2 linked regions of the Saccharomyces cerevisiae S288C genome follow. The protein of the gene in region 2 interacts with the protein of the main gene of each other region in a biochemical or structural test. Each region holds a gene or a part of one and is shown on either strand. Other genes may lie near its edges.

Region 1 (4,499 bases), on a different chromosome or scaffold from region 2:
GATTGACCGGTATCCTTATCTAACATCAGTTGCGCATCGATAATCGTACCCCACTGAGAAAAAAATTCTTCAAATTCCTTTGGTCTCACATCAGGACCAATACCACCAACAAAGATTTTACCGGTTTTATCTTGCTCGTCTCTTGGGATAGCTCTTTTTGGGTCGATAACTTTACCATCGAGGATATGTTGTGTCTTTACCACTTCATCAACACTAGAAGGTTTTTCAAAAGATAAGAAACCGAACCCTCTAGATCTACCTGTTGCAGGGTCTTTCATGATTTTCAAATCAGTGACGGTACCATACTTACCAAAATATTCGCGAAGATTATCTTCCGTAGTGTCCCAATTCAGACCACCAATGAACATCTTGCAACTTTCTTTAGACAAATCCGCTTTCGAACGTTCCTCTTTGGTTTGAGTTACTTGCTGTTGAGGTGGTGATTGAGAAGATGGTTGCTGGAATTGTGACATGGTTTGTTGAAGTTGTTCCCAAGGTAAGCCAGAAGGTCCTGCAGAACTAGCGTTGGCATTGGCATTTGCTGATGTAGCGCTTTCTTGTTTTTTTTCATTCTTAGTGTCTTCATTGGAACCTTCCTTGTCATTCGCAGTGCCATCTTGCTTACTAGAAGATGTGTCTTGGTTACTATTATTACTACTACTGTTGTTACTATTTGGATTATTTAGTTTGTTCAAGCTAGAAGATAATGCTTGTAGTGCGGCTAGTTGATCTAATTGCGAGGTACCACTGCCAGCCTTATTTTGTTCTTCTTCTTTTTTGACTTCTTCAGTAGTGGTAGGCTTATCATCGCCGTAGATGTCGTTGAAATCTTCTTCGTCAGAGCTCATTGCTTATTTAACTTATTCTCTATTTTCTCAGACTTGTGTATACTGCTAAAGTTCTTTATAAATAAAATATTTGCGTCTTTTATGAAAAGATTGTAATATAAACAGTAATATTAATACAGAATAAAAAAGGGCCAATTGTTTGTATTATGCACGCTTTTTCAATTTCTTGTTTATTGAGTATACCTTTTCTGTCCGTATTTTTTCTTTTTGTTTCTTTCGCAAAAAAGGTTAGAAAGAAATCTAGTAAGGTATGAGATTTTAGTTATTAAACACTAAAAAGTAAAAGATACACGTAAAAAATTTATAACAGTATATTGTACTAATACTTGACTATCTGCAAAATTAAATAACTAGTCGAAACTGTTCAATCCTTTGTTTTTAATTACAGTGGCGGAAAGGAGAGAGCGGAAGAAAATTTAAGAGCGCCTGGGCGTGTGGAAAGCATGCGCCTTTTATACTTTTTTTGCTTTGTCCAACAAGAAATCTCGGCGCTGCTCGTAGGGAGGGGCTGCAAGAAAAAAAATAAATAAAAAAAAGAAAGTATTTCCGGGTAAGATTAAAAATGCATTCGATTTAGCCGCCCAGTATTTCGCAAGATCTTCCAAGGTTATAGATGTTTAGAAGAGAAAGAAGTTGGGATCCTTAAGAGCATGTTTCTTTTTCCACGCATCTACATTAGGATTTACTCTTTGTTTTTCAACTTCTGCGCAAGATCTTCAAGAACAAATCGAAGAGATAAAAAAATTGATATTTATAGTCAATAGGTTTTCGATAGCATGACCCTCCGGACTTTTGATGGATAGATAAAGCGAAATTTAGAGGGTTTTTGATCTTCTTCCTTGCAGCAACCTATATTTCTTAGTATTTTGTATATCAATAGCCTCCATAATGTTATCTATAGCTATTAGTACTTTAAGAGACTTTTATTACCCGTATTTTGGATTCTTTTCCGAAGAAAAAAGAAATGTTTACGTTGTGGGAAAAGTGAAAAAAATCGATGATTATGGGCATCGAGGTCTTAATACCCGTAATATGGAGATGAAATAGCATAACTAAACACATTGTATATAAGGTAAAAACGGCAGCATGAAGAAATATCTGCTGTATATGGTACAAGTTCATTTGAACTTTAGAAGAGCAGAACTGGAATCGTTAGCAGACCTATATAATCTTTCCATAGACTTTTCGCAGTACGATGCCAATAGCCCTTTCTTTATTGTAGAGCTGGAAAATGATCAGCAAGCAAAGGATTGGATTAAGAGGTCTATTTTAACCAGAGGTATTTATGAGTATTGGGGGCAGGGTACAACGCTCGATGAGCTGCATAAAGATATTCAGCGTCAGTCTAACTTTGAACAGGATCTGCAATTGAAATTCAAACATTCCACTTTTAAGTTCGAATTCGAATGCTATAAAGGCAACAGTAAAGCTAAGAGGGTAGAGCAGATTGAAACTTTCCGTTACCTTGGCTTTGAAGGAAAGATTGATATGAAACATCCTCAAGAGGTTTTCACTGTTATAGAAGAGTACACACCAATATCGGAAAACGTTGGTGGTAAGACCCCCACCAGGATTTATTTTGGTAGGCAGGTTCAGATGAGCAATAGGAGTGCCATGGAGAAATATGATTTGAAGAAAAGACCTTATAAAGGTACAACTAGCTTCGAAGCAGAATTATCGTTGGTCAGCGCCAATATAGCTCAAGTGAAACCGGGAACTATAATGTACGACCCGTTTGCAGGTACAGGATCCTTTTTGGTAGCTGGTGGGCATTTTGGTTCTTTAGTGATTGGTTCGGATATAGATGGCAGAATGATTCGTGGTAAGGGTGCTCAAGTGAACATTTCGGCCAACTTCAAAAAATATGGCGAGAGTTCTCAATTCCTCGACGTGTTGACCATGGACTTTACAAATAACGCATTAAGAAACAATCTTGTCATTGATACTATTTTGTGTGATCCTCCATATGGTATCAGAGAAAGCATAAAAGTCCTAGGTGCTAAGGATCCAGAAAGATTTCTAGGCAAGGAAGATATGGAAATTGACGGTGAAAAGGCATATTTGCGTCGCGATTATATTCCAACCAAAAAACCGTATGCTCTAGATTCATTACTGGATGATCTTTTACAATACTCTTCCGAAAGATTACCGATTGGCGGAAGATTAGCCTTCTGGATGCCCACTGCAAACGACGCCAATATTGAAACTATTGTCCCAATGCACGAAAATCTAGAGCTAAAATACAACTGCGTTCAAGAATTCAATAAATGGTCAAGGAGACTACTGGTTTATATTAATAGGGGTAGCACTTTCAATGGATCAAGTAATCATGGCATAAAACGTTCAAAAGATAATTTCAGGGAGCGGTACTTCAATAATTTTAACTGAAATGATGCATAAGCCCTTTGTAATTTTAAGATATATTTACTTACTCTTTCTCTTAAAGAAAAAAAAAAAAAAAGAAGAACAATTTATCTATACCTATATTTATGTTTATGTTCCATCATGTAGAAAAGTTTCATTTAAAATTAATAGCCCGTCAAAAATACAAGTGAAAAAAAATAAAAATTAAAAGCTCTCTATTTCTTATAAACTAACATAGCAACGTTCTCTAAAGAAACATCGGATTCTACGTACCTTATCAGCTCCGCATTAAACTCTGTAAACTTTTCTTTCACATATACCAACCTGCCCTCGTCGATTACACGCCTAGCCATTAATCCAATATTTTCTCTCTCTTTAATGGTTATTGTATATGGCTCAGCCCCTTCAAACGATTCGACAACGTTTACTATATCTGTAATAGCCGTACCTGGTTTCCTTCCGCAGGTACCCCATGAACAGAGTTTAGTTAAAACGCGGAAAAAGGTTTCGTACGTCAAGATGGAGCCATGGGCCCTATACTTTTCAACAAGTGATGTAACGTAACTGCGGTTGACATAGTCGCCGTAGTCACAGACATGCCTGCAGCACATGGCAATACAAATTGCCTTTAGTTTGGGGTTGCATCCGTTGTTATCGTCGCCATGTAAAATTGAGCTGTTGCCTATACACCTCAAAGTTAGATCTGTAGCTACACCACAAAGGTGTTTTGAGATGCACACGTATTGTATATCGTCCCCAGGTGTCGATTTTAAAATCGGATCCATCTTCAAGTCCCTAATGTCGATCTTTATCCTTTTGATGCTGGGGCAGCTAATAGGTTTGGAAGGTGAGTTTGACTTTATTTCTGAAAAATCGTCTTTTATCTTTTTATCGAACTTCATCCTATTAGTTGCTCTGTCAATCAACACGAACTCGTTCGAGTTTGAACCCGAGTGCTCCGCTGGAAGGCTTGTCAATTGTGTTAAAAGGTACAGACTGACATAGCGCGAGAATTCGGCCCTGCCACATCCAAACTCAATGAAGTTTAAACTTTCTGGCCTCTCAAATGCGCCAGCGTCCACTAAGTTTTCGATCAGTGAAGACTGTTGTACAGCATGTTTAGTATTCGAAGGCAATTGAGGGAATCGTTTTAGAGACATAAGCTTATTGTTCAGTTGTCTCAAAGGCAGCTCGTCCATGGATTCTCCCTCAAACACCTTATACAGCAATTCAATAGATTGTACCAAATGTTCCGCAGTAATATCTATTTTAACAGACGACGATAAC
Region 2 (4,990 bases):
ACACTCATGTTGTTCGATGAACTCGCATTCCTTTTCCATGACCGCGTAAGCAACTTCGAAAAGGATATACTTCTAGTCCTTTCTGATCCAGTAGTAGGCCGTTGAAGGGAATCGTGTTCGTGTTCTTGCTCGTGGTCGCGCTCTTGTTCATGTTCGTGATGGTGTCCAGCCATATTCTCTTGCTGTTTTCCAAATGATACTACCTTCAAGGCCCCTGAACCTTCAAACCGGCGACTTTGCTGCCTTATATGCCGGTGAGTCCTTAAAACAGGAGAGTATCTCGTTCTTTAAAGCTCTTAGAATCTGTATCTCCAAATCACGCGCGACGGGAAGGCTCAAATAGAAACTGTGGTGGGTTAGATCTCAGTCTTTGTTTTCCTTTTAGGTTGTTTATGCTACATGTTTGATGCCATACGTATATGAGGCTACTACTACATATATAGCTGTGTATATAGTTGTCTTTTCGTCTTGCGTGCCCACACACAGAGATCTCGCTTGATTTATACCAGGTGTGGAGGTAACAGCAAGTTTGGAATGCCGTTCTTGATGTAATAGATATGTCCGCAGTTCCTACACTTCATTTCACCTTCGGCAATGGACGTCTGTAGCAGTAAAGTATGCAAGTCATTAAGGATGGCCATGTCGTCATCGGTGAGCTCCTGGATCGAAGATGGGAAGGATGGTTTGGTAGGAGGTAAGGCGTTGTTTCCCAATTCGGCAGCAACCGTGAGCACTGCAGGCCAGTCTACGCGGTCGACTATGTTCAGAAGGAATTCTGGATTGAACTCGATAGATTCATCCTGTACCAATTGGCATTTGCTGCCGTCGTACTGTAGGGGGAAGTTGTCGTTGCTGGTGTCACAGGCTTTAACGGAGCACTTTAGGAAGTTGGTGGTTAAGAACTTCATGTTGACTAGGCTAGTAATATGATGTGTAGAGCCGAAGAGATCATAGGATGCTACAGTAGCTTCATTGCTGGTGAAGTAGTTTTGCTTTTAAAGCTCATCGATGAAAATTTTACCCAAAAAGATACAGTTTCGTATGAGATGATGAGTGTGATTTGGGAGGTACATATTTACATGTTTTATTAAGAAGAGTCCGCCTGGATATCAGAAATGCGTTTCAGCAGCGCAACCACGTCCCTATTTTTGCTTAGAATTTGATAACAGGTTCTCTTCTCTGCCTGCGAAATGGTACCAAGTATTTGAGAGCGGTCTTCATCTCTCGGCAGTAGGATTCTGACGGTTGGCCCTGCGTGTTTCTTCTTGTTGCGTTGTAGGAAACAATTTAGTTTGAGGATGCTGATTAGTTTGAATATATTGTCATTATAGTCGTATTTGCAGCCTGTTTCTTGCAAGTTGATATATCCCTTGAGTAGTCGTGTGTATGTTTCCAGAGATATGCTCGGTACTGGCTTGTTGACAGATGGAGAATTTACATTAGGGAAAAAAAGTTGAGTACGTTCGTTGTAGGGATTCATTACAATTGAAGAGTATTTCTGGAATATCCTGTTATCCTGCATGGAGTCATTAATTAATATATCGTAAAAATCTTCTTCGGTTCTGTTGTCGTAGATATTATGGGGGAAAAGGAAGGAATGGTCGTACAGCCAAAGACCCAACAGTTTTTTTACCTCGTTAGATCGCACCTTTCCATAGAATTGCTTAAACTCACCCAAGGTCTTCAAACTGTTGTCGTGAAGTTCTGTGCAGATGAATTTCAATATCGTTGGGTATTTAGACCAGTTCGGCAGTTGAAAATTCTGCACTTTCTCAGGTGATGTCACTATCTTATCGAAATTTTTATTCCACAGGTCGTAGAACACGTCTATCCTTCGATGAGTACCTTGTACCTCTTTTCCCTTAGTCAAAAGCTCGACTTCACGCCGCCATTCCTCGCTGTTGTTATTTTGAGTCATGGTCGTGGGTTGAATAACATCTCGATACAGCATATAAGCATATAGCATGTGGAATATAGATGCCTTCGCACGCTGCGAGTCATAATCAGTGACATTTTCCCTCTTATTCAAAATCAAATCTCCTAAAGTATACTGTTTTATAGGGGTGTCTAACTTTGCGTTCTGCTCCTCGACTAAGGGATCTTCCCGGACATGTGCTACATCAGGTTGCTCCCATTTAATATCATCTTCTTCACCCCTCAATTCAATATCTCGTGGCAAGCTGAGGGCCGTAGTCTCGAGCTCTTCTCTCTGTTTCGCCAGGCTCACCTGTGCCGCCATCATCTGCTCTTCGAATGCTCTTTCACTGCTGATAGTAACCAGCGTATTATACGTAACAATGCCCATAAATGCGACAATATTAGTTGTGACAAACATCAAATTACCAGGCGCATTGAAGTATCTCCACAGTGTACGCAGATATGGGAATGTATCACCATTACAGCTCAGGAGAAGTCCGTTTGTCCTTGTGAAGTTTGTCACTGGTTTCTTCCTACTTCGAGAAAAATGCATATTCGTCTTAGAGTTTACGGAATAAAAACGCTTCCATAAAAGTCGCCATACTGTGCTAATACTCCTCTTCCCCTTTTTCAAATGCATCGTGTGTTTCCACGCCTGCTCGGGTGCCTTTGCTGTCTCCAAGCTACTGTTGTTATCCGTTTGTTTTATACTTTCCTTATTTTGTAATTTACTATTGGATGTATCTCCCCGCGTGAAGTCACTAGAACGGTTTAAAATAAAACTTTAATAAATTTATAAGCGTCAGCAAATACATATCAATAGAGAGCGTTTTCATTACATTGTTGTATTTTTATTCGATTGATTGTATATGTTTATATAAATGAATTAAATTGTTCTGATATTAACTGAAAATTACATTGCAAGCAACTGCCATGATGGCGAAGACCAACTTTCCTAATGGCAAACGCGTTTGCGATCCACTGCCCATATATTGGCTAATTGTTACCATTGATGAAGTTTGGTATTGTATGGAGATTGAAGTAGTGGAAACTTCTGTAGTGGTAACAGATGTTTGTAGAGAAGAGGGAGCAGATGATGATGAGAGGAAAATAGAAGATACCGTCGGAGTCAATGATGAAGATTCAATAGTCGATTCCACAGAGGTAGATGGTGTAGAGATAGATGTTGCGGAAAGTGATGATGTAGAGGCAGATATTGTAGCAATAGCTGTGGAAGAAGTGGGTTGTAAAATCTCTGATGTTGAAGAAATTTGAAGTGTGGTAACTGGTGACTGTTCGACACTTAGTGATGATACAGAACTGAATAGCAAAATAGTACTGTCAGAGGATAATGTAGCAGACAAGGAGGAGGATGAAAGGACCGATGTCGATAATAAGTGTGATGATTGTTCTTGAGATTCTGAGTCAATGCTTGATGTACTCGTGGCTTCACTTACACTAGTCGAAATGGTTGAGGTACCTGAAGATGTTACATGATACTTACCGGTAGCGTGCTTATTGAAATCTTCATCCGAAGTTGTCATTGAACTTACCCAACTCTTTGTGGATGTGGTCTGCTGTGTTACAGAACTTGATGAAGCTGTTTGCACGGAAGAATACGAGTGTGACGTTTCAGCACATGTGGAGCATGCATATGAGGATTCAACCGTTGAGGTGCTTACAGAAGTTGCGACGTTTTTAGTGGACATTTTTATAGAAGATGTAATCAAACTTGTTGTCTGCGAGGGCATGCAAGACTCGTGAGTGCAGACTGTAGCGTCTGTTGTAACCGTTTCATGCATACTGGTTAATGTGCTAGTCTCAGATTCAGAGCTATAAGGACACCATGTCGTATACATTGTAGTGACTCCACTAACAGTGGTGAAATATGTAGACATGGAAAATGATGGGATAGTAGTAGAAATTGAGGATTTGGTGATATATTCAGACGAACTTTGTGAACTAACAGTTGTTTCAACAGTTGAAGAAGTCATAGAAGGAGTTGCAACATTTGACGAAGTCGAAGGGACGGAGTAAACAGGTGTGGATGGGCTGTATAATGACACAGACGTTGATGAAGATGCTATAGAGGAGCCAAGGGATGAAGTTGAATCAGTAAAAGTAGAGCTAATAGATGTTGAACTTGGAGAAGTGGAAGCCAAAGTTGGAGATGAAGAAGTCAAACTTGGGGATGTAGATGTTGAATATGAAGAAGTGGAAGTGGAGCTTGCAGAAGTAGATTTAGAACTTGGAGATGTAGATGTTGAACTTGATGAGGTAGATGTAGAGCTTGGAGATGTAGATGTCGAACTTGATGAGGTAGATGTAGAACTTTGGGATGTAGATGTAGAACTTGAAGATGTGGATGTCAAACTTGAAGATGTGGATGTCGAACTTGGAGATGTAGATGTCGAACTTGATGAGGTAGATGTCGAACTTGATGAGGTAGATGTCGAACTTGATGAGGTAGATGTAGAGCTTGGAGATGTAGATGTAGAGCTTGGAGATGTAGATGTCGAACTTAGGGAGGTAGTAGTTGGATTGGACGATGTTGTACTCGAAAGTGTAGAGGTGACAGGTGAGATTATAGAGGCACTTGATGGTTCAATGGCGCTGGATGATACCACGGTTGTAGTTCCTACTTCGGATAATGAGCTGATAGCGGTTGTGTGACAAGTAGGGCAAATATATGAAGTGAACTTGGAAGTCACAGATAAGGTGGTGGTTGGCAACGTCGATGACGAAGGACATGCCTCATGGGAGCAGACTTCTGTAGATAATGTCAAAGTACTAAATCTGGATAGGGTAGTAGCGTACGATATTGAAGGACTTATTTCGGCAGCAGATGAAGTGGATACCGTCAATGGACACCAAGTCGTATACAATGTCGTAGTGCCAGCTTGAACGATAGTGGATGTGGAGACTAGCGCGGGTGAAACTGTAGTTGTAACAACCCCATTTGCATCGTTTGTCTTGGTTATCGTCACTAGAATCGTTTCTGGATCAGATGCCAAGGCAATATTAGTTAATCCCAACAATATTGTGAACAGGTAGGTAAAATGAGCGAAAGATA

Evidence for each region. Proteins that work in one complex are often made in the same cells at the same time.
Region 1: the proteins of TRM112 (region 2) and TRM11 form a complex in vitro, tested with the Saccharomyces cerevisiae proteins (one study listed by BioGRID).

Annotation. Positions count from the first base shown.
Region 1 is NC_001147.6:84,193-88,691, reverse strand, and holds TRM11 (tRNA (guanine-N2-)-methyltransferase), read left to right. Parts: upstream 1-1,934; coding exon 1,935-3,236; downstream 3,237-4,499. Other genes in the region: HRP1 (Hrp1p), read right to left, coding at 1-848; TRM13 (tRNA:m4X modification enzyme), read right to left, coding at 3,428-4,499. UniProt on the Saccharomyces cerevisiae protein: Catalytic subunit of an S-adenosyl-L-methionine-dependent tRNA methyltransferase complex that mediates the methylation of the guanosine nucleotide at position 10 (m2G10) in tRNAs.
Region 2 is NC_001146.8:703,706-708,695, reverse strand, and holds TRM112 (RNA methylation protein TRM112), read right to left. Parts: upstream 909-4,990; coding exon 501-908; downstream 1-500. Other genes in the region: serine/threonine protein kinase FPK1, read right to left, coding at 1-173; PET494 (Pet494p), read right to left, coding at 1,088-2,557; AGA1 (Aga1p), read right to left, coding at 2,820-4,990. UniProt on the Saccharomyces cerevisiae protein: Acts as an activator of both rRNA/tRNA and protein methyltransferases. Together with methyltransferase MTQ2, required for the methylation of eRF1 on 'Gln-182'.